Ovis aries: one gene and its partners. The protein of the gene in region 4 purifies or fractionates together with the protein of the main gene of each other region. This does not show direct contact. Links are inferred from orthologs where the notes say so. Each region holds a gene or a part of one and is shown on either strand. Other genes may lie near its edges.

The links.
Region 1: the proteins of MORF4L2 (region 4) and SIN3B purify together in Homo sapiens (affinity purification with mass spectrometry; 5 studies listed by BioGRID and IntAct, with this or other methods). This does not show direct contact. The link is inferred for Ovis aries from reciprocal best matches to the Homo sapiens genes MORF4L2 and SIN3B.
Region 2: the proteins of MORF4L2 (region 4) and HDAC2 purify together in Homo sapiens (affinity purification with mass spectrometry; 4 studies listed by BioGRID, with this or other methods). This does not show direct contact. The link is inferred for Ovis aries from reciprocal best matches to the Homo sapiens genes MORF4L2 and HDAC2.
Region 3: the proteins of MORF4L2 (region 4) and RBBP7 purify together in Homo sapiens (affinity purification with mass spectrometry, with the first as the bait; 3 studies listed by BioGRID). This does not show direct contact. The link is inferred for Ovis aries from reciprocal best matches to the Homo sapiens genes MORF4L2 and RBBP7.
Region 5: the proteins of MORF4L2 (region 4) and ASH1L purify together in Homo sapiens (affinity purification with mass spectrometry; 5 studies listed by BioGRID and IntAct, counting the BioPlex papers as one, with this or other methods). This does not show direct contact. The link is inferred for Ovis aries from reciprocal best matches to the Homo sapiens genes MORF4L2 and ASH1L.
Region 6: the proteins of MORF4L2 (region 4) and KDM5A purify together in Homo sapiens (affinity purification with mass spectrometry; 4 studies listed by BioGRID and IntAct, with this or other methods). This does not show direct contact. The link is inferred for Ovis aries from reciprocal best matches to the Homo sapiens genes MORF4L2 and KDM5A.
Region 7: the proteins of MORF4L2 (region 4) and PHF12 purify together in Homo sapiens (affinity purification with mass spectrometry; 9 studies listed by BioGRID and IntAct, counting the BioPlex papers as one, with this or other methods). This does not show direct contact. The link is inferred for Ovis aries from reciprocal best matches to the Homo sapiens genes MORF4L2 and PHF12.

The regions. Positions count from the first base shown.
Region 1 is NC_056058.1:5,999,015-6,003,486, forward strand, and holds the start of SIN3B (paired amphipathic helix protein Sin3b), read right to left. Parts: upstream 3,048-4,472; 5' UTR 3,032-3,047; coding exon 2,924-3,031; intron 2,683-2,923; coding exon 2,576-2,682; intron 1,274-2,575; coding exon 1,120-1,273; intron 1-1,119.
Region 2 is NC_056061.1:23,747,269-23,751,235, reverse strand, and holds part of HDAC2 (histone deacetylase 2), read right to left. Parts: intron 3,435-3,967; coding exon 3,317-3,434; intron 1,252-3,316; coding exon 1,177-1,251; intron 672-1,176; coding exon 533-671; intron 1-532. UniProt on the Homo sapiens protein: Histone deacetylase that catalyzes the deacetylation of lysine residues on the N-terminal part of the core histones (H2A, H2B, H3 and H4).
Region 3 is NC_056080.1:15,062,452-15,066,418, forward strand, and holds part of RBBP7 (histone-binding protein RBBP7), read right to left. Parts: intron 1,205-3,967; coding exon 1,059-1,204; intron 1-1,058. UniProt on the Homo sapiens protein: Core histone-binding subunit that may target chromatin remodeling factors, histone acetyltransferases and histone deacetylases to their histone substrates in a manner that is regulated by nucleosomal DNA.
Region 4 is NC_056080.1:129,270,685-129,275,435, forward strand, and holds the start of MORF4L2 (mortality factor 4-like protein 2), read right to left. Parts: upstream 2,948-4,751; 5' UTR 2,889-2,947; intron 1,633-2,888; exon of another isoform or gene 1,561-1,632; intron 158-1,560; 5' UTR 72-157; intron 1-71. UniProt on the Homo sapiens protein: Component of the NuA4 histone acetyltransferase complex which is involved in transcriptional activation of select genes principally by acetylation of nucleosomal histone H4 and H2A.
Region 5 is NC_056054.1:105,708,905-105,713,358, forward strand, and holds the start of ASH1L (histone-lysine N-methyltransferase ASH1L), read right to left. Parts: upstream 3,224-4,454; 5' UTR 3,065-3,223; intron 2,724-3,064; exon of another isoform or gene 2,603-2,723; 5' UTR 2,348-2,602; exon of another isoform or gene 2,302-2,347; coding exon of another isoform or gene 2,153-2,301; exon of another isoform or gene 1-2,152. Other genes in the region: DAP3 (small ribosomal subunit protein mS29), read left to right, coding at 2,153-2,301. UniProt on the Homo sapiens protein: Histone methyltransferase specifically trimethylating 'Lys-36' of histone H3 forming H3K36me3. Also monomethylates 'Lys-9' of histone H3 (H3K9me1) in vitro. The physiological significance of the H3K9me1 activity is unclear.
Region 6 is NC_056056.1:213,066,664-213,069,699, forward strand, and holds part of KDM5A (lysine-specific demethylase 5A), read right to left. Parts: intron 2,657-3,036; coding exon 2,450-2,656; 3' UTR 1-2,449. UniProt on the Homo sapiens protein: Histone demethylase that specifically demethylates 'Lys-4' of histone H3, thereby playing a central role in histone code. Does not demethylate histone H3 'Lys-9', H3 'Lys-27', H3 'Lys-36', H3 'Lys-79' or H4 'Lys-20'.
Region 7 is NC_056064.1:20,259,288-20,264,045, forward strand, and holds the start of PHF12 (PHD finger protein 12), read right to left. Parts: upstream 2,972-4,758; 5' UTR 2,470-2,971; coding exon 2,404-2,469; intron 1,757-2,403; coding exon 1,575-1,756; intron 1,219-1,574; exon of another isoform or gene 1-1,218.

The DNA of each region.
Region 1 (4,472 bases), on a different chromosome or scaffold from region 4:
CTGGCCAGCAAAGCCACCAGCAATGTGTTAGGCCCTAAATGGCAGCGGGACCGAGGAGAGAAAAAGACAATGGCTACCTTATAAAAGTAAAGCTCAAACAGTCTTTTTCTCAGGGGGTCCGGTGAGCTCAAACAAGAAGCGACTGCAGAGACAGAAGAGGCTGCCACCTGTCACTTAAGTCAGAAGGGGCCGCAAGCCTGAGCTGAGTCCACGGTCCTGCCCGCAGGGAAATGAAGCACATCCACAACAAAGACGGCCGGTCACACACGCGTCTCCACCACTTCCTCCTGTGCGCTGCCAGGGTGCTCAGAGGGATGACCGGCCCGAGCACAAGCGGGGGCCGCCTAGCGCTCCGAGGGGGAGCCTCAAACCCAGACCTTGGTGGCTGCGACTGCCAGTATCTTTTTTAATCAGAACACAGTTGCTTTCACAATGTTGAGTTTCTGCCGTACAACCAAGTGAATCAGCCACACACACCCCCTCCCTCTTAGACCTCCCTCCTCCTCCAACCCCACCCCATCCCTCTAGGTCATCACAGAGCCCTGAGCTGAGCTCCCAGCGCTACACACCGAAGGTCCCAGTAGCTAAGCGTTTTACACATGGTAGTGTGTTTATGCCAAACCTAATCTCCCAATTCACCCCACCTTCCCCTCCCCCACTGTGCCCACACGTCCGTCTTCTATGTCTGAGTCTCCATTCCTGGCCTGGAACTACGTTCCTCTGTCCTATTTTTCTAGATTCCACATGTTAATACATGCCCTAATATACCAATACTGGTTTTCATCTTTCGGACTTACTTCACTCTGTATGACAGACTCTTAAGTCCATCCACATCTCTGACTGTGACTGGACATAAAACTACGTTCAGAGAATGCCTCCTTGACACATACAGACACACCCACTCTTGATTTAAATCTGCCAAGTGGATCAATCTGGGATGCAGAGGCTGCTGGGGAAGGTGTTTCAATTCACTCTGATTTGCGCTAGAAGCATTTCAAGAAGATCGGCCCTTCACCTGCTTCCCTGCCAATGAAACACACGGGATATACTGCCTGGCATGAGTACCCCCAGGGCCAGGGTGGGCGGTGCTGAGTCCAGGTCACTCACACCACTGCATACCTGGCTCGACAGAGGCGACTGTATGTTTAACTTGCCGTTCTTGGGAATGTCTATCCTGTAGCCGAGAGGGAGGAAAGCGTTGAATCCAACAATGAGGTCAGGGTGTTCGTGGAAGAGCTGCGACACTCGCCGGATGACACCCGGAGTATCAATGCTGCAACAAAGAAGACCAGGAGTGGGCAGGAGGGTCTTGGGGGGCAGACTGGGAACCGAGCTGACTTCTGACTCTCTTACCCGTCCCAGGACACAGGCTGCTCAACAGACAACGACGCACCCTAAACTGTGTGACTGCAGACGGTGGTCCACCACCAAGGCAGCCAGGCCTGGGCTCCCTGTATCTTCCTGCCAAAACCCCACACAACAGGCGCACAGCACAGCTCCCAAAAAACCGCAAGCACGTGCGCTAGGCTCTGGAAACGTCAGGAGAGCCAGCTGCACATCCTGAGCTCCAAGAAGTGACAGGAAGCCAAGTCCTCTAAACAGGGAGACAAATTCACTTCATACGAATCAGCGATCTGCTGTTCCCAGGAGTTGTTCCCAGCAACTGACGGTAATGCATAAATGTCAAAGGCCCTGCACGTATGGAAACTGCGTAACAGCTCAAGGAGAGAGGAGATAGAGTTCTCCCTCGGGGCTGCAGTCAGGGCCAAGGTCTACCATCGGGCTTGGGAAGGAAACCAGGTGAGCCCTGCCGTTATTACTTCCTCTGTGGGGAAAGCACCACGGTGTAGATCTGATACAAATCTAAATCAGAAGGCATGGAGTCCTGGTCCCGCCTCTGCTTCTAACGTGAACCTGGGTGAACCCCTGGCCCACTCTAAGTCTCAGCAAGACCCCTGTCAAACAAGACAGGGGATCGAGAGGTCCCTGATACATCTCTCACCCCCTTGATCCTGTGCCTATGAAAACAGCTAATGTGTTTTAAATGCCTTCTAAGTGCCAGGTTCCTTATTAAGCATTTTGTGTGCGTTATTTCCCAAGCAGGCCTGGGATGAGGGCGAGGCAAGTAAGGCACTCACCTTGGGGATTAAGATTTGAGGGGGAGAAAGTGCCAAAACATTCCTTAATCTGGATAAGTAACATTTTCATGTAGTGCTTGGGGCGGGGGGGGGGGGGAGCGGGGATCTAAATTTTTAAAAAATCCCGGACGAGCAAAATTTATCTTTAAAACCCGACACTCTGAGTAAAGACAGGATCCCACCCTGTGCTTGCCTGACCGCCTCACTCGCCTCACCGCATCCCTGCCCTCCTTCCAGGAATCCCCACAATAGCTCCACAAGGAGGGCACCCTTCCGTCCCGTTGTCTGGAAGAAGGACCGAGGCTCCGAGCAGCCACCACCTGCGCAAGGTCACCCTGTTGGGGGCCGGCGCGGGCTGGCGGCTCCCACGGCGCTCAGGCCCACTGCGGCCCAGGGCGCGCCCTGGGGCGGCCCCCGGGCAGGGGCCCCGCAGGTACCTCTGGCTCTTGAACTCCTTCATGATCTCCAGGAAGCCATTGTAAGTGGCAGGATCGCTGCCGAAGCGGATCTTCACCTGGTCCAGGTAGGTGAGGGCGTCTTCCACCTGCGGGGAGGGGGAGGGTCCCGGTGGGCCGCGGTCGGCGCAGAAGGGGCCGGGGCCGGGGGTCCCTGGCGGGAGGGGTGCAGGCCGGGCTCCGAGGGGCGGAGGCAGGGGGTCGCGGGTCCAGGGCCCGGCGGAGCGGAGGCCGACGCAGGGCCAGGGTCGGGCGGGGCCCTGGCAGGGGGCGCCAACCTCCGGGGACTGGACGGCCGGGTTCCCCAGGGAGGGCTGGGGCACCACTCACGTGCACCGGCAGTTTCTCGTGGCCCCCGGAGCCCGAGCGACCCCAGCGGGCGCCGCTCAGCCCCCGGCCCGCAGGGCCGACGCCGCCGCCGCCGCCAGCGTGCGCCATGTTGGAACTCGGAGCCGCGGCCCGCCCCGCCCCCCGCCCGAGGGTGGGCCGCGCATGCGCTGGCTCCGCCCCGGAGGGCGTGGCCTGGCGGCGGCTGGGACGGCAAAGCTCCTGGAGGGACTAGCTGTAGGATCTTACCCAAAAAACTGAAAGGCTGCTAACGCTTCAAGTACCACCGGTGGGCAAACCAAGGGCTGGCCTCTGCTTTTGTCCGGCCCCACAAGTAAGCTGAGAATGCTTTTTACAGTTTTAAAAGTTGGAAAAACTCCGGTAGTGCAGATTACTCCGTGCCACGTGAAAATTCTATGAAATTTAAGTTTCAGTGTCTGTAAAATTAAGGTTTACTGGAACGCTGGAATGCCCACTCGTTTACTGGGCACCTCTGGCTATTTTTGCGCTTTGACAGCGGAGTAAATAGCTTCTACAGATGCTAAGATCTACACAGCCTGATATATTTACTGAAATAGGGTTCTGGACCCCTGCTTTCTAGGGTTGATGTAACAACTGGGGGTATGGACACACAGCACCCCAATACAAGGCCCTGCATTGAAGTGTTGCCAAAATGCTTTTTTTTAAGATGTTTATTAATTTATTTGGCTGCACTAAGTCTTGATTGCAGCATGCGGGATCTTAGTTGTGGCATGCAAACTCTTAGCTGTGGCATGTGGGATCTAACTCCCTGACCAGAGTTTGAACTCATGCCCACTGTGTTGCGAATGCAGAGTGTTAGCCATTGAAACACCAGGGAAGTCCCTGCTAAACTGCTCTTGACTTAGTCCTGATCCTCCTCTCCTCACTTCTCTAGTCCTGTTCCCATCGCTTCCCCACAGGACCAGTTTGGGAGCCTCTTAACCAGTTTTTCCAGTCACAGTGCTATCAGGAACTGAGATCATTCCACAACTGCTTCCAAATCTCCAAGGTCTTCCTACTTCTTATGAGTTAAATCTAAGCACCTGTATGCAGCATTGAAGGCAATCAATTGTGAACCTAAATTGTGAACCTTTTCTTGCAGAATTTTCCACCCAAGTAAGCTGCCTTCTATCTGTGCAGAAACTCCTGTCAATGCCTACTTAGCCTGGCTGCTCCCTGACCCCATGCGTCAGCCGGAAGCCCTATTAATCTCTTCATTACACAAAAAGCACCCTATATATCCTGCAAAATACAACCCAAATATCCTCTCTCTCAAGAAACTACCCAACTTCTCCTCTGCCATCCCACGGTCTCTTGTACATCATCTGCATTTGGTATCTCTACTTGTGAAGAGGTGCAGGAAAGCTGAGAATATGCTGGCAACGGGTGCATCGTTTGCCAGGGGTCAGGAGTAAAATTGGGACTTGCCTGGTGGCTCAGACAGTAAAGCATCTGCCTACAAAGAAGGTGACCCGGGTTCAATCCCAGGGTGAGGAAGATCCCCTGGAGGAGGGCATGGCCACCCACTCCA
Region 2 (3,967 bases), on a different chromosome or scaffold from region 4:
AAATCACAAATACCTCTATAGATCTTTCTCTCCAACTGACAGTCAAGAAAAACTTTAAAACTGATTCCTTTAGCAATTTAGAGATAATTATATCCATTAGTAGAGAACAAAACCTTACTCTATGAGGGAGCTAGGCAGTGAACTGTCACATTCAATAGATAAACAAATTTTAACACAGGTTTCAAATTTTTTTCTTGAAAGTTAAAACTTACAAAATGTTAAAACACAAACTTCTAAGGTCACGTCATCTTTTTTCAATAGTTAGAACTACATCTTCAATCTAAACTGTCAAGCTACTTCTAATACTTTTAGGAAGGTACTTAATAAACTCTCAGACATCAATATGCAGTTCTCATTCTTAATAATCCAAGAACTAGCCAAATTTCCTACATTTTTACAATGGTTTGGAATGAATCTGTACATGATTTATCCACTATTTTCAACCCATTGTTCATGTTTTAAAAAAGGCACAGGTTTTTACTATGAATTAAAACACTTTTTACAGGAAAAATGTCAAACACAATGAACTTACTTTAGTAATTCAAGGATGGCAAGCACAATATCATTAACATAACAGAATCCTGATGCTTCTGACTTCTTGGCATGATGTAATCCTCCAGCCCAGTTAACAGCCATATCAGTTTGTTGTCGGTTTAACTTCACAGCACCAGCTAACAATTAAAGATAGGAGAAATGTTTAAATGTTCAAAATTAAAAGTTACTATAACTAGACAAAAGCCCTAGAGGAAAGAGGATGTCATGCATAAGCAAATGAGTATAAAATCATAAGAGGACCACTGCCATGGGCACTAACAGCTTCTCTTTAGGTGACTATTCTCCTGTAGCTGTGATCTGGTTACATAAGAGCACACAGTTGGAAAGTGGTAGTGACAACGGTAGCTAGAAGAAAGGGAGGAAAAAGAAGTCTCTAACTGGAAATGCAAGTGAAGTAAAAAGCTGCAAATAAAAAGTTTGAGACATTATGATCACAAAACTGGGTGGGGGGGTGCGCGCCACTGAAAACAACTGTAACTGTAGACAGCTATAAACATACTATACACATACTACTTTTGTTATTAAAATCAGACACTATTAAAGCTTGTTTCAAACAAATATCTCAAAAAATACACACAAGTTTAAATCAACTTCTAAATTTGACGAAATCAAGACACTTACCAACTGAGCCACCAGTTGAAAGCTGACAAAACTCAAAAAGTCCATCAAACACTGGACAGTCCTCTCCGACATTAACTGTGGAAGACGGATTTCATTAATTTCAATCCATTCTGTGAATCAATGAAAGCCTTTTCTTACAAAAACTATATCCTAAAAATAACATGTGTTTGATGCAATCATAAAACATACACATCATAGTAGTAAAGTTTGCAATTTTATCCAAGGCAGTTAAAATATAAGGTCTGAAATACCACCACCAATTCTTCACATGATTATCTATGGAAAATATCTGCTTTTTAAACAAATCAGTAGCTATCAAAATAGAAAAGGTATTTGGGGTTATTTAATTAAAATACGAGGTTAAATTTCCTAGGCATTTCTCCTTAAATATAGAGCAGTAAATTAATTAAAATCCTAAAAAGTTTAAGCTCACTTACTTTATGATTTACATTTTTTAAAACTCCTTTAAGTATACAGAATATCCATAACTTTGAAATGTACTGATCACCAAAAAAATGTAACAGTTGGTTGCCCACATCCATGGTTAGTGTTAATCTTAAAAGATGGTAAGAATTCCGTAAGCTGATGACAGCCAAGATACAGATGAAAGAGATACTTAAGGCACAAGGAGACAGCACACGAATATAGATACACAGCACATCACAACATATTTAGCTTCTTGGTACTGAGAGGATGAAATGGACACAGATTGTACAACCCATTCTCAGTTCTCCTCACCCCTCAATTTATATCCTCTTCAAGAAAAAGGGTCATTACTTACTTTGTATAGGTTTGTACATCCTTAATTTATTTTAACATATACATTTTATCTTCCTGCTATTCAGATATGATCATTATCTTAATACAATTCAGTATTATGTAAATTTAAAACCAATCCTGTTAGTTCATTTTACCTTAGGGCTAACTATGACTTAATCTAAGCCTAAATCCCCATTGAAAAAACAGGGGCAAATAATATCTATTAATATTTGTAATACAACATCTTACTGAATCAAATGAGATAAACAAAATGTACATCAAATTCTATGAATTTATAAGATGTCTAGCAACTACACTTAATTTAGTATTACTGAACAAATAATACTGTTTTAACAAAATCATTAATGAAGTCCATCAATAAAAACATCGGAATGAATGCCAGTATCAAGCTTTAAAAAACATTGTTCTAGTCATTTTAGAAAGACATCTTGCACTCTATCTTCTTGCATTCAATCTCTAATAATAAAATATCTACAAAAGATAACACTGTGTAGAAGAGAGTCAAAAGCTTCATTGATACAACAAAGGGAAATACAGATATACGTACAACTGTCCCTTGGTATCAACAAGGTATTGTTTTTAGGACCCGGATGATAGCAAATTCTGGGGATGCTCAAATCCCTCATACAGTGTTTTCATACAACCAATGGAACATCCTCCCATATATTTAAATCATCTCTGATTACTCAATATTTAATATAATGATAGTGACCATGGGGTCACTAAGAGTCGGACACGACTGAGCAACTTCACTTTCATGCATTGGAGAAGGAAATGGCAACCCACTCCAGTGTTCTTGCCTGGAGAATCCCAGGGACGGGGGAGCCTGGTGGGCTGCTGTCTATGGGGTTGCACAGAGTCGGACACAACTGAAGTAACTTAAGCAGCACCAACAGATAGTTGTAAATGCAATGTAAACAGCTGCCCACAAGAGGTAAATTCAAGTTTTGCTTTTTTGGAACTTTCTGGAATAGTCTGGATTAAAGCACACAAATAGAAGACAAGAAACATACACACCAGACTACTGCCAAAGTACAGTCATATTTTTAAAAGCAGGGGAAGGAGGTTTCCCTACCAACATCCACTATCTCAAAGTTAACATGGAACCAAACCAAAGAGCAAAGAACATCCAAATAGCTCTTTGGCAGTTCGGCAGACCAATAAGCTTCAGGTAGGCTATTTTTTTTTTTTTTTTTTTAAAGCAGCTTTAGTATTGTCACAGGGACTTTTAAAAATAAATAAATAATAAAAATAATTAGATCAGGAAAATATCTAGATTTAGGTAACTCTAATTGCAAGTTCTGAAAGTACTTATTTATACTTATCCCTCCTAATATATACTTTTAACAAAGAAACGTACATCTCTGCATCTGCTTACTGTACTCAGACATGTTATCTGGTCTTATTGAACGTAGAAATTTGATGTACTCATCACTGTGGTATTTCGTCATTTCTTCAGCAGTGGCTTTATGGGGCCTCTGTGAAGAAAAATAAATGTCAGAATTGTGTAATTACAACTGGTTAGATCAAGGTTACCAAACACAAAGTATACAATGTCCCCTACCACTACTCTCAAGAGAACTGTCTGCCAGAATAAAAGAGATACATTTCAAAGCAAATCCAAATTTATACATATGTGTTTTAGAAAGCAGTAATCAATTTCAAAAACAATATTCCTTTTAAAAGGATTACACAGGTCTAACACCAACTATGAATCAATCACTCCTTTTTTTTAGTGGAAACAGCTCAATCCTTCTAAAGACTCTACTTTCTAACATTTTCTACCATAAACCTTCTGCTCCAATGCCAGTAATTTCATCACTGACCATTAATTTTCAGGAAGGCTGAGACTCATCCAGGTAAAATGAGACTCATTTTCTATTAGTTCATGACCTCTCTTCCTTTTCCTTTGACTATCCTAATCATCCTTGTTCCCAGGAAGTTCACTTCATTTATGACACGCTTCCTGAATGCAAGTCCTATTCAACTCTTCTCTAAATGTTTATAATCT
Region 3 (3,967 bases), about 110 Mb from region 4:
GCTGAAAATGGCACACTAATTTCAGGACAGTGATGAATTCTGGAAAGGAAAGCAGAGAGGAATGGAGCAGGGTTGGCAAGATTTTAGCTATAAAGCAGTGTTTTATTTTTTAAAAAGTACTGGACAATGTTAAGATCTGCTTAACCACATGGGGTTGTGGGGAAGCACTAACCCGGCAGGTCTGCTTGCTTAGTCCTCGCTGCTGATGGAAACTGGGGCCACAACTGACCCCTGATCAACTCCTGGGAACACAGACCTCAGAATGTCCTCTATGTCACTGATGGGTTGATTTTGTGGTGTATACCTGAAGCAATGGACCATGCTGTTCCAGTCTGTCAGGGTGGCTTTGTACAAATATCAAGATTGACGATACACACCTGAGTTCATTACTGGGGTCTCAAGATTCAGTTGCCATGGCTGGCTGCCAGTATAATTTGCCTACACAACCAACCCCCAAGAAAGACAGAGACCCTGACCCTCAAATGGGTTTCCCTGGGCAGAGATAGCCCACATGTCTCCCTGTTATTTGTTGCCAGAAACAAAGTACATCCTGTGTGGCCCTGGATGAGATTTGCACTGGACTTCCCTAGACTCCCTGATGTATATCTTTTTCCTGCTGCTTCTGTTCATTTCTAATTATAACAAACTTTAGCCTTGAGTATAATTTGCTGAGTCTTTTGAGTCCTCCTAGCAAAATCATCAAACTTCGGTGGTTGTGGGAATACCAAACAGGGGAATTATGTTTGGTTTGCAGGAAGGGAGTCAACAACTTTCATAAAAAAGCTATTAACCATCTGGTATAAATGCCTGACTTTTTTTTCTATGCATACACCAACACATATTCTTACTATTACCAAAACTGTTACTATAATCACACACATCAGTTACCCAATTTATCTTGGACACCTTTCCATACCAGTGCATACAGATTTATCTCATCGTGTGAATGTAAAATTTCAGAGTTGAGGTTTAACTACCCAAAAGATATTGGTATAAGTTAATATATAATTAGAGGCTTACTCCTCAGACACCAATGCTGGAATGTATGGATTACTTACCACCCTTTTCACTGTCACAGTGGGAAGCATCAAACTGCGCATCATCATTCGGAATATGGACTCGAGCAACCACGAGATGATTCTGCTCATCAGATGTGTGAGTCCCCAGCACTAGCCAATGAAGGGCATAATCCTTTCCTTCCGGTCTGTTTATGAAAGAAAATAAGTCATATTAATCTTATAAGGGGATTCCTTGGTAGCTCACATGGTAAAGAATCTGCCTGCAAAGCAGGAGACCCAGATTTGATCCCTGGGTCAAGAAGACCTCCTGGGGAGGGAATGGCTACCCTCTCCAGTGTCCTTGCCTGGAGAATTCCATGGACAGAGGAGCCTGGCTACAGTCCAAGGGGTCACAGAGTCGCAAATATTCAGACATGACTGAGCAACTAAAACTTCAACTTTCCCCTCCACAATCCTTTAAGAAATCAGTTGCTAACAAATTGTCTATCACTGACTCCCGTATTCATAAATCATGACTTCTCACCTAACAACAACAACAAAAAAAACCTTCAATTTTAATACTCTAGGTGTTTCTGGTTTCCCAGTAAGAGGTAAAAAGGCAGAATGGACAAAATAAAGTGCTGAGTCAAGAAAAACTGGGTTTAAACCCAGGCTCAAACTAAAATTAGTTATATGTGATTCCTTAAATCACAACTTCCCCGCGGGTCTCAATTTCTTCACCTAAAAAACAGGTTATGAGTAAAAATGACATGATGTGAAAACCCCTTATTTATGGTGCTTAACGTTCATAAAACAGGCATTCCCATTTTTACAGGGGAAGGCAGGGGAGGGGGTCGTCTTTGTTACCCTATTCTATGGTAACTCCTTGTGGCTAAAGAAACCACTGATGACTCTTGGCACTTAATCCAAGTGATGATTTTGCATCTGTATCTATTAACAATGCGTTCCCATTTGTATTATTCAGAACAACTTTCACCTGTGTCCCATAGTTCCACATTAGTAAGGCAGGCTGAGAAGTAAGGCTCTGAGCCCCAACATTAAAAAAAAAACAAAACCCTAGACTGTTTCTAAATTCCAGCTGTACAAAGGATTCATTGGTTTAGAATAAAGGTTTGTGAATTACTTCCAGGCATATAATTTAGTAATAACTAAAAAATACAAGATTAAATTTTACCAAGATTGGGCTTAGGGTATGAAAGAGCAGTAAATACACAAAAACTCCAAGAACAGAATAAGGCAGCCATGGCTAAACAATAGGAGTTCATTTGAAAAAGAACATGGGGACTTCCCTAGTGGTCTAATGGCTAAGATGGTGCACTCTCAATGCAGGAGGCCCAAATTCCAGCCCTGGTCAGGGAATCAGATCCCATATGCCACAACTAAAGATCCCACAGACTGCAACAAAGATCAAAGATCCTGCAAGATCTGGCACAGTCAAATAAATAATAAATAAATAAATAAAATATTTTTAAAAATAAAAAAGTGAATCTATTTAAAAAATTAAGACATGGGTCTGAGTTGATGTGTGTTCAGTGGCCAAGAATACGATGTGGTTATAAAAAAATTAATTACTTTCATCTTACATGAATTTATATAGGGTAGGAAGAGGCAATACACATGGGCATTCATCTACTAATCTGTGACTGGGAAAACCACACTTAGAAAATTAGGCTCTAGGCAATGCATTTTAGAAGGACTTAGGCAAAAATGAAACTTTTACAGGGAATAGTGGCTTGAAGTGAAAGGGAACTTAAACATATCTCATGAGAACCATTTGAAAAGAAATAGGAATACTTGAGAGAAAGGAGGCACCAGCAATATCAGGGCTGACATAAAAGGAAGAAAAGTGACTTGTTTTTTATAGCGTTAAGTAGAAAAATTCTAAGACCTACAGGTAAAGTTACGGTCAAACACATCAGTTCATCATATGACCTTTTTAAGGAGTAGAATTACAACATGGACTAGAGGGTCTGAAAAGCTTCTTTTGACTCCAAAATTCAATTATTTCAGTTTCCTCTGACTCCATCATCGTATAAGGATTTTTCTTTTTACTACAAATTCTTTCATCACCATCATCGAAAAACAAGCCTACTTTTCCTCGCCCATCAATATTTCACTGCTTTCTTCAAATACTGGATGTACCTAAGGCTGCAGAAGCACTCGTTACAAAAGACCTTGTCCATTTTCAGTGCCAGAATTCTTTGACCACTTAAGGAAATTCACCTGACAATCACAGATTATCATCACAAGGTTATTCTTGGTAGGAATGCCTGAAATAGCCAAAGACTGAAAACAAATATCCATCAATAAGGAACTGGTGACACAAGTCACAGTATATCCACAAAGGAATTCTACCGAGCCCTTCATATATCTAAGCATGCTTATAGGAAAAAAGTCTCCAATACAAACTCTTAATTTAAAAAATCAAGTGAACAGAGACTTCCCTGGTGGTTCAGTGGTCAGAACTCCAAGCTTCCACTGCAGGGGTCACAGGTTCGATCTCTGGTTGGGGAACTAAGATCCAAAGTCAAGTCAACAACTTCCTAACAGAAAAAGAGGGCGGAGGGGCATAGCATGTACTTCTTCATGCCGGCAGGATGGATAAGAAATCACAAATGACTCTGCTCTGGGTAAGGCAACCAGAAGAACAGAGGATGTGGAAGGGGAACTTAGTCTTCACTCTATGCAGCTTTGTATCATCTGAATTTGAATGCATACATAGATTTTTAGGTAGAGCATATAAGTCTCAATATGTTTAAGAAATTATTCAATAAGACATATGAAGTAATGATCTACTGGTTTTGAAAAATAGTTTCTTAGAGATACCTAAATAAAAATTTAAAGAGCCAAATCAATTATTTGGATGATCACCTAACTGAATTTAAGAGCAACAGCTCAGAAAGTGCAAGTAATCATTTGGAAGCATGTTGTATGTATACAGAAGACCA
Region 4 (4,751 bases):
CTAGATAGTTATCATGGTTATGTGGAATTATCTTGTTTCAGAACTGAGGCCAGGAGAAGGGAGGCACTTACCCAAGATTCTGTAATGAGGGATGTTCTGCAATCAGGATCAGACCTGATCCTCACTACACAGCAAACTTAGTTTTTCTGATGGTAGTCTAGAAGGTCAAACAAGGGGACAGCAAAGGACATAAAGATATGAGATGAACGTTTTGTTTTCCACCAATGCATTTTAACATACACAAAGGACACCAAAGCTGATAAAATACGTACAAGATTTTTCCCCCTTTCTTGTGGCTACATTTTCAAATTTACCTTATTGTACATTTATCATGATTTCCGATAATTTGTTTTTGCTTTTTTCTAAGTTTTATTAAGGATAATTTCAAATGGATAAAAATGTAGGGGAATAATATAAACCTTTGCGAATCTATCATCCAGCTTCAACAATTACCAACTGAAGGCCATCTTGTTTTATCTGTAACCCCACCCACTGCTCGCCGCCCCCCCCCCCACTCTTGTTTTTCTCAAGAGCACTGAATAGCTGACTTTCTGTATTTTATTATGGAAAAATTCAAACATATACCAAGGAAGCTAGAACAATACAAGGAATCCCATAAGCTCATCACTCAGCTTAAACGATTCATTTAGTGCCAATTTTGTTTTATCTATGCCCCTCGCCACCTCCCCTTACCGCTGAGCTAATTCTGAAGCAAATCCTAGACATCAAGGTATTTTGAAGCCAGTCTGAATGCTTTTATTGTTTAATTCGTATTTTCGTATATTTCTGTAAGCTACAGGCAATTTGAAAACATAACCACAGTATCATTACAACGTCTAAAAACATCGTCATTAATTCCTTAAAAAAAATCAAATGTCGAATCCGTCTTTAAAATTTCCTGATGCACCTTTAAGTATTTTTTTATAGTTGATTTCCCCGAATCAGGATTCAAACAAGGCCTACTCATCGCATGTGGTTCATCTCCAGCTAGCTCTCATTCCTCATTCTCCGTTTCTCCCCACCCCCGCTTTTTTTTTTAACTTTTCAATACGGAAAATTCCAATCCCCGCTATTTTGAGGTAATTGTCAAATAAATTATTTCATTGGTAAAGACTGATACGTCTCTTTTGTATCTCGAATTTCTTTTACGGAAGGAGGTGATAGGAAAAGCACTGTAAGGAACGACTTTACATAATTTTACGTTTTTTCTCACTCTATTACGCGGGTTTTTCTCTCCACAGTAATAGCTAACGTCTTCCGGAGCCACGGTGCGTATTAAGTTATTATACGTATTACATTACCTAGCAGTCGTATATTATACGCTCTAATATACAGCACACGCCTCTGAGGCACAAGTCTCTGAGACAGATACTATTATTATCACCATTTTACAAACATGGAAACCGAGACACAGAAAGAACAGCCAGCCCAAGCTGGGCGTTGGCGAGTAGGAATTCGAATCTAGTTCTGCCCGATAGTAAAGCCATTAATTAATCTTGTCTGTATACGCGACGATAAGAGGAAATCGTCAACCCTTTCTCCCCACCCCCACCCCGAAACCTGAAACGAGGATCCAGTTCTTTCCGACAGACGACGACGTGTGATCACTGCCGACTCTCCAACCGCCATAGTAAAGCCAGGTTTCTCTGGCAACTGATATCCATAGGCAGACACGTCACCCTGGAGGCGGGCTTATGCCCTACAGCCAATCACAATCGTCTCATCTAAGTTTTAGAATGTTCTATAACCAAATGATTGGATGAAGCTCACCACGTCAGCAATGACACTCCGCCGCAGTAAAGGCGGGTGCTAGCAACCTGCTTCTTCACCGTTAAGGCTTGAAGGAAACCAATTACCTTTCTCCTTTAGTGAGGGCTCTGACCAATGACGTTCGCCCTCTTAGGTTTTCAGCCCGCCCTCCAAAAGCGCGACAGCGGTTGGGTCATAAGTCTATAGGGCAGAGTGTTCACGTGGCCCACTTTCACGACCCAGAGTTCCCCTGCCCAGAGGTTTCTTTCTTTTTTTTTTTTTTCCTGCAGGGAGGCATTGTGGGTTCCCCCCCAACTGGGAAAGGAAGTGTCTACGTGGCCTGCGGAAACAGGATGGGCGGAAATGAGCTAAGGTCCCCGCGAGTGGGGAAGCGCTAGGTCAAATCTGCGGCCACGCCCCCGAACCTCTTGCGCAACTCCCGGAGGAAAAAAAAAAAATAAAGGTTGACTGGGGGTTTTGATGTGTGTGCGAGTTGGGGGTGGGGGGTACTGCGGGCGCGCGGTGTCAGGGCTCCTGTGCGCAAGCGAGCCCGCGTGGCCTTGGCGTTGGCGTGTGCGCGAACGCCAGGCCTCGTGGCGCTGGAGGTGGCTGGTGTGCGCAGGCGTGCGCCCCTAGCGTCGGGGCTGGTGTGTGTTCTGGGGCGGGTGCGTGCGCGTGTGTGCGCGCGTGAGCGCGCGCGTTCTATGCGGATCATTTTTCTACTTATGTTTGAAAATTATTCTTATAAAACGGAAATTTAAGCAATTAAGTTATGGCGACCATCACTGAGATAAAGGATTTTCGCTAGAAATACTTCGGTCTCCCCTATCGATTTGATTTTAAACCCTAAAAATACACTTTCTTCCCACGTCTATCTCCGAATCAAAAATCCCGTTCTAAGCCGTAGCCCAGCAGCGGTTAACAACCAAATCCCCCATTCGCTTACTAGCAGTTCCAAAAAGCAGCTTTGCTGTTCCCTAATAGCCGTCTTCCCCCAACCCCCGCTCCTTCCCCCGTCCATCCCCCACCCCCAAGTTGCGTCCAGTTCTGCCACAATATTTTGCTGAGAATATCTGTACACGACAGACTTCCCCTCCACTAGGGACTCCGAATTTCTGTGGGAGCTGAGGCTCTCTTACCTGCTTGTTCTGATTTCCAGGCAGAGTGCTCTTAACGCAAGTATGCACTCTAATTTTCCAGAAAGTTCTCCGTGTGAGGTTTATACCTTTTGAGTTTGCCACTAGATGCCGCCAAATTCCAGCAAAGGATTGGCTGTTTGGTCCCTGGAATTATGGGATTCCCCCATCTTTTTTTTTTTTTTTTTCTGATTTGCTGAGCTTTCCAATCTATAAAGATCATATATATCTTTCATTTCTCGAGAAAAATCAAATTAACTTATTAATAGCCCTACCAGGTAGGGCTCTATTCAAATGTTTACCTCCTTTCTTTACTTCTTTCCTCCTTAAAAAAAAAATTCCCCCTCCCATCTCTTTCTTCTTGCCTTTTTTGGGGGTGCTGCTGCTGCTGCTAAGTCGCTTCAGTCGTGTCTGACTCTGTGCGACCCCATAGACGGCAGCCCACCAGGCTCCCCCCGTCCCTGGGATTCTCCAGGCAAGCACACTGGAGTGGGTTGCATTTCCTTCTCCAATGCATGAAAGTGAAAAGTGAAAGTGAAGTCGCTCAGTCGTGTCTGACTCTTCGCGACCCCATGGACTGCAGCCCACCAGGCTCCTCCGTCCATGGGATTTTTGATGAATGACCCCCAAGCACTGACGCCGATGAAGATACGAAGATTCTAACCCTTTCTGTGGGGTTAGGATCTTTTCAAATGCTGCCACCTGCCCCGCTTTACCACCTCACCCTGACCCCTGCTCTGCTGCAGGGAAAACACAGGTGGTTTTCTGGTCAGTACAGACATTTGTCTTCACTGGGCTTGGACCCTGGGATTGAAAACTGATCTTTCACTTTTGAAATTATGATCGGATATTTGTGTTTTCACCCTGTCTTCTGCAGTAGTACTGTGAAACTTTATTATGTTTTTGGAGTTTAGAGGCCTAATTAGAGGCCTAATTTTGAGCCCGATTCCACCACTTACTAGTTCTGAGAACCTGGGATTTATGTTCTGTGATCCTGTTTTTTTGCATGCTTTCTATATTTTAGATGTGTCATATCACATGATATTCTTTAATTCTTCACAAAATCCTTGTTAGAGGCATACTAATAAAATCAAACAACACAAGTTATACTTATTTCAGTTATAGATTCCATACGTTTGTGTGTGTGTGCATATGTGTTTCTGGGCACACACGTGCACCCTTTGGGGAGGGGTGGGATTTAGAGCAGAGGTTCTCAAAGTGTTTTCCAGACACACCAATAGCACCACCTGGTGGGGAATTGTCAGAAATTTAGATTCTCACCTCCAAACTAATCAGAAATTCTAGTAGTTGTTAGGGTTTGGGTGTCTGTGTTATAACAAACTATTCTGGTGATTCCAATGCACACTTCTTGGAGGGTAGAAATATAATGCTTATTTTTGTACACTCCACTAGAGGGTGCTACAGAATGTAAAGCAAAATAATAAACATATGTTTTTTATTGAGACACCCTGCATGCTATCTGTCCTGTTTCACAGATGAAAGACTGTTGTGAAGTGGTGTCTGTTATTTTGTGCATACAAAATTTGGGAGCCAGGATTGACCTTTACCTGCCCTTGGAGCCCATGCCCTTGACAGTACTGTGTTGTTCAGCTGCATTATCTTATCTTTTGGGGCCTCAGAATACATTATATATACCTTGTTCCCTGCCTTGGCTAACATTGACTGGAGTATCAAGAATACGGCAAGGAAGCAAACCAAATAAGTGGAAGCAGTTTGATGATTTCATACCTTCCCTCAACTCCATTCTATGAAAGATAACATATGAAAGCTCGTAAGTGTTTCCGTTCTTGCTTTTATTTTTCCCAAATGCCCCCTCTACCTTACAGTTATCTTTTTTAGTTTCTG
Region 5 (4,454 bases), on a different chromosome or scaffold from region 4:
TTCCAAGAAATGAACTTCAAAACTCCTCACTCCCAATGCAAAACTGGAAAACAATCAGTTTGAGAATATGAATAATTATGAGAAAGAATAAATCTATAAACATTTGTGTTATATCACATTCTCTGATCACCTAGTTAGAATCATGTTTTAACACTGTAGAAATCAATCTGCAAAGAACAGAAAACAAAATAAACAGAATAAAAAAGATCTTAAAGTTCTCCTTACTGTCAGCATGCTCACTGTCAAAAAATCTTTCATCTTAAACTCATACCAACATCTCCACTCCCAAACAAAACTATTTTTAAAAAAAGACTTTTAAATGAGACTTAAATATAAATTGGCTCTACTTCATTACAATTTAAGTTTCTAAAAACTGTATGCATAATTTGTGTGATTGTGCTCATGCCCATCATTTTCTACAGTGAGGGTTTTTTCATCACATTCTCAGAAAAATAAGTGGACCCCCCCAAAAAACTTCTAAGAACCACTAATCCAGCAAATCAAGAACACTCTATTTTCCGGAGAAATACAGTTAAGTTGCCTTAATTCAAGTATACTTCTCTCATGTTCAGAGAAGGGGATCCTTACTACAAAATTAGTCTTTCGAAGAATTTCTTCAGCGCGGCCAAAAAGTTCCAATATTCACAGGCACATATATTGACAATTCCAGATCCCCAAAACAGTTTACTGGGAAATGCCCAAAGAAAATGCAAAAGGCAGCACACTCTACCACAAACTGGGCACCCTATTAGATGCTTAAATACACTTGTATGCTTCCACAGTGAAACATCTGGAAGATCTAAATTCCCTCCAAACTGAGTACACTTTTGAGGAAGGTTTTTGAGTTTCAACTCCACACTGACCTGTCTACCTCACCTGACTCAATATGTATCACTGTCTCAGTATTTACCACTGTCAAGACAAATGTACCCGAGCTGCTTCAACAGGGTCACCTTGATTTTTCTCACCCCAAGGCAGGGACCATTTATTGAGTAGTTACTCAGTAAATATTTGTTGAATGAATGAAAGAAGATCCTTTATCCCTTAAAGTTAAGCTGTCAGCCCCCACCCTGCTTCTATGTTACCAGTTAAATATCCCTCCCTCAAATACACAAACTCAAGTGTTAGAAATGCTCTGCTTCCTCCATAAACAAAAAGTAATATCCTCATGGAATACCCATCTCTCACAGGCCAACCTGGCAAAGACAACCTATGTTCTGTCTGACACAACTGATCTCTACCAAATACCATTCAATATGCCCTTATCTTTCCAATAAACTCAGATTTGCCTGACAAAGATCTCCTGAGATGTCATGATATGATGACTATACTACTGGACTAGGAGTCAAAAGTATCTATTACAGTCCCAAATTTGTCACCAATTTAACAAATGACCTTGAAAAAATGATGTCTTCATGCCTCAATTTCCTATTTTGTAAATGGGAGAAAACATTCATCCTACCATTTCCACAGAGATTTATTTATGATTACAAACAGAGCATTCTGAACAATATAAAAGCTTTATTCTATTACGAAGTGTTAATACAAACTCAGGTCAACAAAAACTCCATCCATTCTTTATACACTCACAGTACATTGTTCAAGTAAAGATGTTCTGGGCCTTTACATCTAAACAATTCACCCTATTCTGAGCAACAAACTATTCTTAAGAATAGCTGACTATGATAAGTTTCTCCTATTCTGGACCCCACCACTTACATGCTATATTTCCAAAATACTACCATGACTTCTCTTTCCAAGTAAGTATTAAGGCAATCCCAAACCCTGAAATACACAAACACATCAACCAGCAAGGAACATCCCAAGCTTTATTTTAAAAATAAGCTAGTATAAGGGGAACTCCATTACACTTGTAAAAATACAAGCAAACTCTTCCGGAACACTTTCCTTCCTTGTATACTCACACAAACACAGCCGCTATACACCAACAGACCATCTGTCTTCTAGACCAAAAACATGTCTTTCAATGCCCAAAGCCACGAGTAACATTTATTAAACTTGCGGAACTGAGATCATTCTGTCGTCCCTACATACAGTTCAGCATGTCAGAGACACCACAGATCTGGCCGTACGGAAAATCTTCCCTCCTGCCACTTTTATCCCTTCCACGAAACAAACAGGACTATGGGGGATGCTCCAATCCTTCCTCCACAAGATACAAACTAACCTGTCAGGGGCACAGCCGACTCCGCCTCCACTCGCTTACTTTCCCGCCCCCTCCCCCAGCAGGAGCCCGCCTGTCAGGGACACCCCTGCACCCCCGCCAGGAGGGACTTCCCGGTAAGCGCAGGATCCCCTGCCCTCCCCTCCCCTCCCCCATCCTTACCACCGCTCTCCCGGAGGTCCAGGTCCGGGAGATGACAGTAGCTCCCAGGAAGCCAGGGGCTGGGTCGCTGAGGAAGTACTTAGGCCCAAAGGCCTCCCCAGACGGTTCTACTCACCGTGTCAGAGGCCGAGGCCGAGGGAGATGAGAGTGCAGGGAAGTGGGGAAGAGGGGGCGGCCGCCACCAGGCTCCTCCGCTTCCCTTGGTCCACAGCGGATCCCTCCCGCTTGTCAGGAGGCGGCCAGCGGGTGAGCGGACTGGCGGAAATGCGAGAGAGGAGAGGGGAAAGGCGTGGGGCTAAGCGGGGGAAACTGAGGGGAGGCGGGTCCCGCAACCGAGACGGGGATCTTCTCCCCCTCCGCAAAGCGAACCCAAAATGGCGGCGGGAGCGGCGGCGGCAGAGCGGCGGCGGCGGCAGCTCCTTGGGAGGGAGGGAGCGAAGGGCGCCTCGTGCCCCCCCACCTCCCACTCCTCCCTCCTCGCGTTTTCCCCCTTCGTCCTCCCCCCTCAGCCGACTCGGGCGGCGGAGCGCGCACGCCCGCCCGCACGCGCCAGAGTGTATCTGGGCTCGTCGCTCGCTGCTCCCACCAACCACCGCCTTCGGCCGCCTCGCGCGCCCGCCAGCCAGCACGCACTCCCTCTGGGGCGCCTTGTGGCACAGTCCTCCCCTTCCCCTCGGCCCCTGTCAAGCCAGCTCTGGCGCGGGCCCTCACGCGTACCTTCAGCAGCGCGAGCCCAAGCCTCCTCCTCCACCTCCTCTCCTCTCCTCCCCCCCTTCCCCGCCCCCACTGCCACCAACCGCCGCCACGGCCGCCGCGGCCTCCTCCTCCTCCGGCCCCCCCGACATACCCTCCACCCCTCACGCGTGCGCCTCCCACAATCCCCCCCGCGGGACTGTTCCATTCCCGTCGGCCGCAGAAGCGGGGGAGAAAGCGACAGGCGCAGTGGGCAGAGCTTGCCGTCAGGACACGAATGACCGCGAGTGACGGAGAGAAACCTGTGGCTATTTACCTCGCTGGCCGCGGCGCCCTGGCGCCGCAGCTTCCTTTGCTGGCCTCGCCCTGGCCGCGGCGAGCGGGTCGAGGGCGGCCTAGCGCCCCTCCGCTGGCGGGTGGTTGGAGGCCGCGGCGGCTGCGCATTGAGCAGCTTCCTGCCTTACGACCCGAGCTTGCTTCTCCGCTGCGGGACGCGCGGCGTGGAGACAGCGCTTGACAGTGTCTGCCGTTTGCCGGGCGGGGAGAGCTGGTTTCTGACTCGGTGAGGAAATGGACCGGCATGGGGGTTGTACCCATGAGGGAAAGGAGCGGGACTCCGAACCTCCATGAGGTAGGGAGTGAGACCAGTAGGGCCGGCGACCCTCCTTAGGGGGCTTCCCTTTGGGCTCTGTGTTGCGGACCTAGGACTCAGGAAAGAACCCACTCAGTGGTCGACTTTTTCCTTTTCTTTTTTTTAAAACCCAGCTTAAATTTCTCGAATTTCACACTACTGTTTATATGCGATGATGTTTTTGTGCATTTTTACGCATTCTTCTTGGATGGATGATGAATGGATGATACATTTTCAACCTCATTAGGCAGCCTGGCTAGGGAATAAAGATACCATATATATCAAGTTCAGGTCTGGACTCCATCTGCCGTGTCTTGTGTGTCCTTCAGAAAGTTATTTTTCTTAGTTCTTTATCAACAAGAAACGAAAAATTGAGCATAGAAATTAGTGAGCCGCTAATCTGCCTTCAGGGTTGATGTGCGATGTACGTGTAGAGTCAAATTAACTCCTAGGTACAGGGGAAGTGCACTGTTATGTTATCGTTCACGGTGATGTTGATAAGGTTTGTGGATGTAATTGGTAGTTTGTGTCCTATTCTTCCAAATCGTAAATAAAACAATGCAAATCTAGGTCTATCAGATTTCCATAGTTACTGATACTTGTGTCTCAAAACTCTGCATGAACATTTACTTTTTCTTGATTGAATTCAAAAGAATTATGGACTATTAAAAGCCACAGATAATTCCAAAGCTGTCTTCTAGTAATCTTTTGTTTCACCTTGTAGGCAAAGCCGAATAAATGAGGCAAGGGATCCACTTAGGTTTCCCTTTTACTTCACATCTG
Region 6 (3,036 bases), on a different chromosome or scaffold from region 4:
GGTTTCAAAATGTCTGAACATGAACAGGAAGCTATTCATGGTTGGGAGATTGCCTTGCAACTTTCTCAGGTCAAACATGCAGGCAAATGCCGTATTGTGGACATAAATCATTTCCTAAACAGCCCTCTCTCCCTATCTCCCACTCTCCAAGAAGCAGAGCCCCTGAGCCATCTTTCTCAGCATCCTCATATGTCCCTCTGCTGACAGCTGAAGGGAAAATAAGGTGTTTTATAAAGCATGTTCCAGGCAGCCATCACTGAAGACTGCAATCAATTTTTAACCTACAAGTGTCTGAAGGCTTTTACAGAGAAGACCAAAAGGAAAAAAAAAATTGTGCTTTCTTCTATAACCAGATGAAATTCTTAACTAAGTAGTATCTTTATGTACATTATCAAAACGAAAAGTTATGGAAATAGTTACCTTGTAATTTCCAATGAAATCTTAAATCATACATACACTTGAGATGAAACGTTAAGATCCATGCACGTCAACACTGATGAACTTAACACTCAAGATTTTATGATACCAGGGGAAGAGGGACGAAAAGATTGGTAATAGGAACTAGAGAAAGCATGTCCAGAAACTGGATTTTACAGGAAAGGTTTTTTTTTAGGAAGGTCTTTTGAGTTAAATCTCATACCCACTCAAACTGTGACTCGACAGTACATTTCGCTTCTAGTTACTAGAAGACATTTCTTTAAAAAGGGAGGACGAGAGTATTAGCTGTTCTCTGGGCCCATCTTGCTCCCCCCTTTAAAAGGAAAACTGATGGATTTATAAGCCAAACCACATATTTTCAACCCAAAATAAAGGGACACAGGATAGTGAAGATGAAACACCATTTTCAGCTTGTTTGGTGGGTCTTTCTTGTCCTTAAAGAAAAAAGAGAGTCCCCTTCTAATAAGAGCGTCCCTAACACCTCCACGAGGACAGAACACAACAGGAAGGAGGACAACACAGCACCGTTGTTTCAAACTTTCACAAACAGAACGGAGCAGAACCAAACAGAACCACCACTGCAGATACAGCACGATCAGGGTCCCCACACACAGGGACGAGCCCCAACACACAAAGGAAACAGAATTATCTATCTGGACAAAACAAGATGGACGATCTGGTCACGCGAGGCTGGAGAAGGAAGTGCTAACTCCATGTACTACAAGGAAGGCGTGGGACTCCTTTATAAAAAGCAAGGAGAGAAAGCAAGCCCCCAAATGGATTTCTGATGCTGAGACTCCGTCACAAGCTGCTGGTAATGGTAAATATATATATATTTATATATTCATATATGTATATTAAAAAAGGAAAAATAATCTATTTATAGAACAGTCAGTAGTCAGAGACATTTAGAAAAAAGTAAAAACAAGTCCTTTTTTCTTTTTTTAAAAATGGATTACTAAAACAACTTCGTCACCAGAGGTACTCTATGCCCAACTCCTCGGAGGAAGCCATGGGGCTACGGGATAGCGCCCGCAGCCGGCCTCTGTCAGCAACTGCCAGTCCTGGAACCAGACAGTGGGGCAGGGCTGCAAGGCAAAAAGCTGTTTTGCTGGTTTTGCTGGTGGCCATGCCTGAAGCCTGGTGGCACCTGGTACACTTGTCAATGAAGGTTTCCCCGAAAAGCATGCACCGCTAGCTCAGTGAAACATTCTGACTCACTGTCTCTGCTGCTGCAGAAGCCTGGATCCACGTACCTGCTCTTCTCTAAATGCAGACCCAAGGTAACAAGACTTCTCAAAGCCAAAAAAGGCTGCTTGCCTTTGGCAAGATTCTTCTTCCCAGAATCCAATCTAGTCAGATTTCTGAACTGGATGCTACTCTCCTCCCCTTAGGAAGATGGGGTGATCCGCCCCTCACTTGGGGTTTTCCTCTTGGTACACACAAGCACACGGAGCGGAGGTCTACAGGCCAGGCCCCCTTCCCACAGCCTCTAACAGGACTATGTTCGTCCTGGTCCTCTCCGAGCTGGACCTGCCAGGCATCAAAAGCAGGTCAGAGTGGAAGGAAGCTGGTCCTCTGACTCCTCCCACTGCCCTAACTAAGGAGATCCAAGCAGTCAGTACCTCCCAACAGTGCTGGCCGCGAACCTCTAACTAGTATCAACTGGCCCTAAAACACTCTTACAAGCCCTGCGAGCACACCAACGCAATGATGCCAACCTGCCACCCTGGAGCTCCAGTGTCTGGCCTTAATGTGACAAAGGACCTCAGAGGAGACATGTACTGAAACCCCAGCTGCTAGACCAAGGCAGACACCCTTATAGCACACGAGTGCAGACAGAGAACGCGGGTCCCACATCCATGCGCAGAGAAGTCGGCTGAGAGGACTTTCCCAGAAGGCCGTTCATCTTTGGAAGCAACATTCCGAGTGGACCTAAACCACTCTACTTGATGACTACGGTCTCAGTGTGGTCCGTTTTCCCCCGTGTCCCAAACCAACCCAGCGTCTGCTAACTGGTCTCTTTAAGATCCTCCACTGGTAGTTTGTAGCTCATTATGAAGGAAGGGGGCGGCGCTGGCCCTGGGCTGTCTGGCCCCTGCTTCTTTGCACAGTTTGTACAGATGTAATCTTCACTTTCCGCCATTTCTGGAGAGACCCCCACACAAACTTGGTGAAACCACTCATCGCAGCCACCATCACACTGCACCCAGTCCACCTGTTGGAGACAAGATTGGGGATATTTAGGTTACACATGCAGGAAGCCTGGGATATAAGCAAACCAAAGAGCTGCCTTGGCTTAAATGATAGCAAATAACGGGAATGCCCAGAGATAGACAATGACTTCTTATGGAGTTATTATTTAAATAAAGAAGCTGGGAAGTTAATCCCCCCGAATTATGTTTTTTTCCGTAATGTGTCCACAAAATAAGGCCTCTTAGGTACTCCATCACCTCATAAATACCTGGGGCTCCTTGCAAGGCAGAAACATGTTTGAGAAAATTTGACAAAAAAAAGGAACTTCTAATAGAGCAGCCAAGTAGTTTTAGCTAATATTAACAACGTCTAGGCTCTAAGACAATGCAATTATCAATCAGG
Region 7 (4,758 bases), on a different chromosome or scaffold from region 4:
GATAATCATTTTTGTCCCTGCAACATTACAAGCCAAGATGGGGTGCTCTCCCGGGCAAAGGAATTTTGGGAATGGTAATGGGAGCTTCCTACAAAACTTCTGACCACAGACTTAATTTGCCCAGTATCACTCATCTGTCTAATAAGTGTTCCCAAACCTGCAATTAGTACAAATACACAACAGGCACTATTTCACCAACCTGGGGGCGGAATGTGAATGGAACTGTGTAGAGAGCTTAAGGAAACCCTCACTTTATGGTATTTTTTTTTTTTTAAAAGAGAAGGTTAAAAATGGCAATATCAAAAACGGGTGGGAACAAACGCAACAGCCCCTCTCTTTCCCGCTCTCTCCCCAGCCATCTCCTCTTGCAAACATCTGCCTCAGTCAACTGTTGCTGAACAGAGCAAGAGCCATCCGAACAAGAATCGATCGGGGTCCTGGCGCAGATGTGGGATTTTTGAGGAAGGCCGAGGTGACTTCTCCAGGCAGGAGCTGGAGTTTACACTCTTCTTGGTCGGATTGTTCTGGGCTGAGCCGGTGAGGAGGATCAAGCAGCGGGCGACTAACCCCGGTCCCTCCCTCCCTCTACGGTCTCTCCCCTCCCCTTGCGTTCAGTAAGTGGGGGGGAGAAAAAGTGCCCGGCTTTCCAGCTCTCCGCTCCTTAAAAATGCCCTCGCGGAGCCAGGGCACACAGAACCCCGGCAGCAAAGAATTTTGCAGAGAAGGGTTCGCCGATCCGGAGCGGAGCAGTGAAATCGGCGCCCAAGGGCAATTTTAATTGTCTAACCCGGCTCGATTTCCTAAGAGGCGGCAGCGCGGGGAGGGGAGGGAAGAGGCAGGCAGCTCCGACAGGCAACAGGGGCAAGCGGCGGGAGAGAAAGGGGACCCCAGCGGCAAGACCCCAGCTCCGGCCCCCGACGAGCTTCCGCCGAAAGGACTCCGAGGTTACCCCCACCGTTCCCCGGGAGACGTCTGCAAATCATATATGCAGCCAAAATGGCGCTGAGAATAAAAATATAATTTAAAGGCGGGTCGCCATATTGTAAACAGAGAAGCAGAGCACAGACGGACTCAGAGACACCCTCCATGATTTCTTCCATGGCCGGGAGCGCCCGGGTGCCGGGTCCCTCAGGCCTGGACCAGGGCAGCTCCTGCGGCAGAGGGCTCCCGCGCACCCACCCCGAGGACAGCCCATCCCGGCAGGAGCCCGAGGGCGGCGGGCGGACGCGCGGGCGGCGAGCGGCGCAGGGCCCGGAGCTCCTCCCCTTCCTCCCCCGCCACCGCCGGCCGTGCCCCACCGGGTCCGTCCCGGCTCCCCAGCGACTTCCAATCCCAGATGGGGCACTCCGCACTCCTCCCCACCCCCACCTCGGGGTCCGGACCTACGGCTGCTCCTCCCCCTCAAACGGCCGGATCCGGGCCGCACCTGGGGGCGGGGAGGCGCTCGCCCCAGCGGCTGCAGAGAGCTAGCGGCTGCAAGCGCCCGTTATCTCGGCCAGCAGGGGTAGGCCGGGTGAAGGAATGTGCCGGGAAGGGTCCGCCAAGGGGCTCCGGAGGGGGTCCCCAGACCTTACCAGCACTGGAGATGGAAGGCGGCCGGGCAGTGGTCACAGCACAGGAGGTCCCCACCTTCCTTGCAGCTATCGCAGCTGTCGTGGTTGGTGGCCCTGCCGCTTCTCCGGGGCTCCTTCTCAGGCTTCCGACTCCGCTTTTCGGCCTCGTCCGTCTTGGGGGGAGCCAGCAGAGCTTGGATTTGCTGCACACACATACAAATGGCGTGTGTGCACACTCGGAGCTCCCGGGCGGTCCGTCGCCCCCCCGGCGCGGCTTCTCCGTCACCCACCCCTCTCCCCCCTTTTGTCCTTCTTCCTCCCATTCAGGCTGCTCCCAGAACCTCTTAGCCCCCGGAACCAGGGGGAGGCCACCCTAACCGCGTTCCTGCCGCACAACAACGAGCACCGCTTCTTCCAAATGGGGAGGATCAGAGTAGGGGGATGGGGAGAGGGTGCGCGGTTCCCTTCTCGCCACTTCCTTGTATGGACAGTGGGGGACTCCAAAGCCAGGCTCGGGAAGGGCCTGAAGCCCGGTACCCGGACGTGCTGGGGGAAGCACAAAGGGGCCGACAAGAAGGGGGTGGGGAGGCCCGCCGGTGCAAAGAGATGGAGTGGGTTGGCGCTTCGGGAGAGCGAATCGAGGTCGGCGGGTAGGTGAAACTGCTGCAAACGTCCTCGGCGGCTGAGCTCGGCCCCCCGAGTTGCAAAGATGGGAGGGAGAGTCTCGGTGAGGAAGAGCCCCCCCTCCCCCGGCCCTCTTGCGCTGCGAGCTCAGGGCCGGCTTTGTGGGGCGGAGGGCGGAGGTTCCCTCCCGGCGCTGGGGGAAGGGGATGAGGTGGGCCACTCTTACCTCCATCAGCCCCCCCGACGTGTCCAAGTCGTACACGATCGTCTTGGTCTCCATTTTCTCCCACATTCATCCACCTCCCGGGCTGGGCGCTCTCTGCTCCGGCCCCCCCAACCCCGGGGGGAGGGGGGAAGCGGGGGGAGGGGGCGCTCCTGACCCCGGCCCTTCTTCTTTTTTCCAAACACGGGTCCCGACTTCCTCGCCCTGGCTCCCCCCCACCCCCCGGCCCCCAGTCCCCGGGACGGCAGCGTCCTCCCCACGGGCCGTGAGGGGGGAGCGGCCCCTCAGCCCCGGCCCGGCGGCTGGCTGCACGGTGGGTCCCGGCTCGGGGGGGGTCAGGCCTCGGCGGGGCCTAGTCCCACAGGCTAGAGCCGGCGCTGGCGACCGCTGGTCCGGCCGGGAAGGCTGGCGGGCGCTGCCATCCCGGGGTTGGGGGGATCGGAGGTGGGGGGGTGAGAGGTTAGGTGAGGTTGTGGTACGTGAGGTGACTGCGGGGAGGGTGATGGGGGGGTGGTCCCCGGGCTCCGCCTCTCGCCGCCGCCGCCGTCTGCGTCCCGGCTGCCGCGCACTTGGCGCAAACTTACCGCGAGCGCCCGCAAAGCCACCCGCGCAGGCGCCCCGGGATCGCCGCTCGCCGCGCGCAACCGCAGTGACAGCCGGCGGCCGGGCTCCCGCGCAGCCGCAGAGAGGGGGCACCCCCCGGCGCGCAGCCGCGCTGGCATTCGTCTGGAGCGCCGATGCCCCGCCTTTCAGCCCTGCGCCAGCGTACTGTGAGGGTAGGGCGGGACTTGATGTCTCGCGCAGGCGCTTGGGAAAGCTCCGAAGGGTCACGGCGCAGCCGCACGGACACCGGGGCTCTTCATCCATTGGTGTTTGAGTGTAGACCGAGAGGACTCTAGTCTCGCGCAGGCGTGTTGCGGGTGCTCCCCTCCCGCCCCACAATAACACGGCCCGCGCCGGCGCAGGCGTATTGTCACCAGAAGGCCCTAACAAGAATGCTTCTCCTTTCGCCATTTTGGTAGTGGGTTATAGACTACTATGCCCTTGGAGTCCTCAGGCGCGAACAGAAAGAAGCAAAGTGTGGTGTTGGCTGGTGCTGGTAGGCTGTCGGTGACAGCATGTCCTCCTAGGGATGTTGTACTGGACTGTTTGGGTCCAGCGTCAGGTGTGGCTGGACCAGGCGCCATATTGGTAAAGAGAAAAAGAAAAGCCATCGCGACGGAAAACGATGGTTTTGGTGTCGGGTTGGATGGCTTCTGTTCTCTCTTCCCTCCCGCTCCCAGCAGTAAATTTTAGCCTGAGCATCCCTGCCTTTCGTAGCGAAGGCACCGTGGAGGTCTGCCTGCCCGACACCACCCTCTTTTGATTACTGTCTCTGAAAATTGCCCTCCAAGAGGAAACCAAAGGCTAAGAGTTTGTAATGCTGACAACGCCCAGCTACCTGCCCGCAGTGGACTTCAGCTCCCAGTTTGCAACGCGCCAAGGTCCAAAGGGCGAAGGGAGAGCATTGCACCCTGGGAGCAAGAATCGCGATGGGTCTGGTGGATTCTGGGAGCCGTAGTTTCGTGTGCGTGCGATGCAGTGTAATGTAGGATGGACTCGGGGAAGAGGGAGATACCTTTCAGAGCTGCCGCTGTATGCTGGGATTTATAGTCTGAAGGTCTCATCTCGGACTCTGGGCAGGGCTTCACGCTCTCCACCGCGCCTGTCCCTCCCTTTGGTGCCATCTACGAAGATGGCCAGTTGCCTCTGCCTGACTGTAGATGAAGCGGTGGAGGAGGGAGGGGCATCATTGCGCCTGATACGAGGTGTTTAGTTGGCATTGTTACCAGGTAGCTGTGTCCTGGCTCACTTTTGATATTAAGGTATCCTTAGCATTCTCAGAAACCTAAAACTGGAAAGGGCTTAAAACCTAAAACCATCTGTATTAACCTCTTCATATCCTGATGCATAGAGAAGAGTAGTGATTGCCTAGTTCACATAGTGAATTTATGGCAGACCTAAGAATGAGACGTATTTTTTTAATTCCCAGGCTAGGATACTGTCTAACTGCCTGAACGGCTTTGCTGCTTTGGGGTGGGGGATAGTAAGGAGGATGAGTCTGATAGGGTGAGGTCGTGGGGGTGTGGTCTTAGGTTTCTGTTCTTCTGACTTTCCTAATGGTCCGGTTGGTGCCTGGGAAGAATAATAAAGTCCTGGGCCTTATTGATCAAGCAGGGGAATATGTCATGTAGATCGGCCCTCTCTACCCTCTACCAGCCTCAGCAAACAAGAAATCTTAGTGGCTCTGGGACAGAGAGAGAAGGGCTGAGCTAGAAGTATAGAAGTGGCTGGACCTTATGTCTTCTTAGGCAGTAT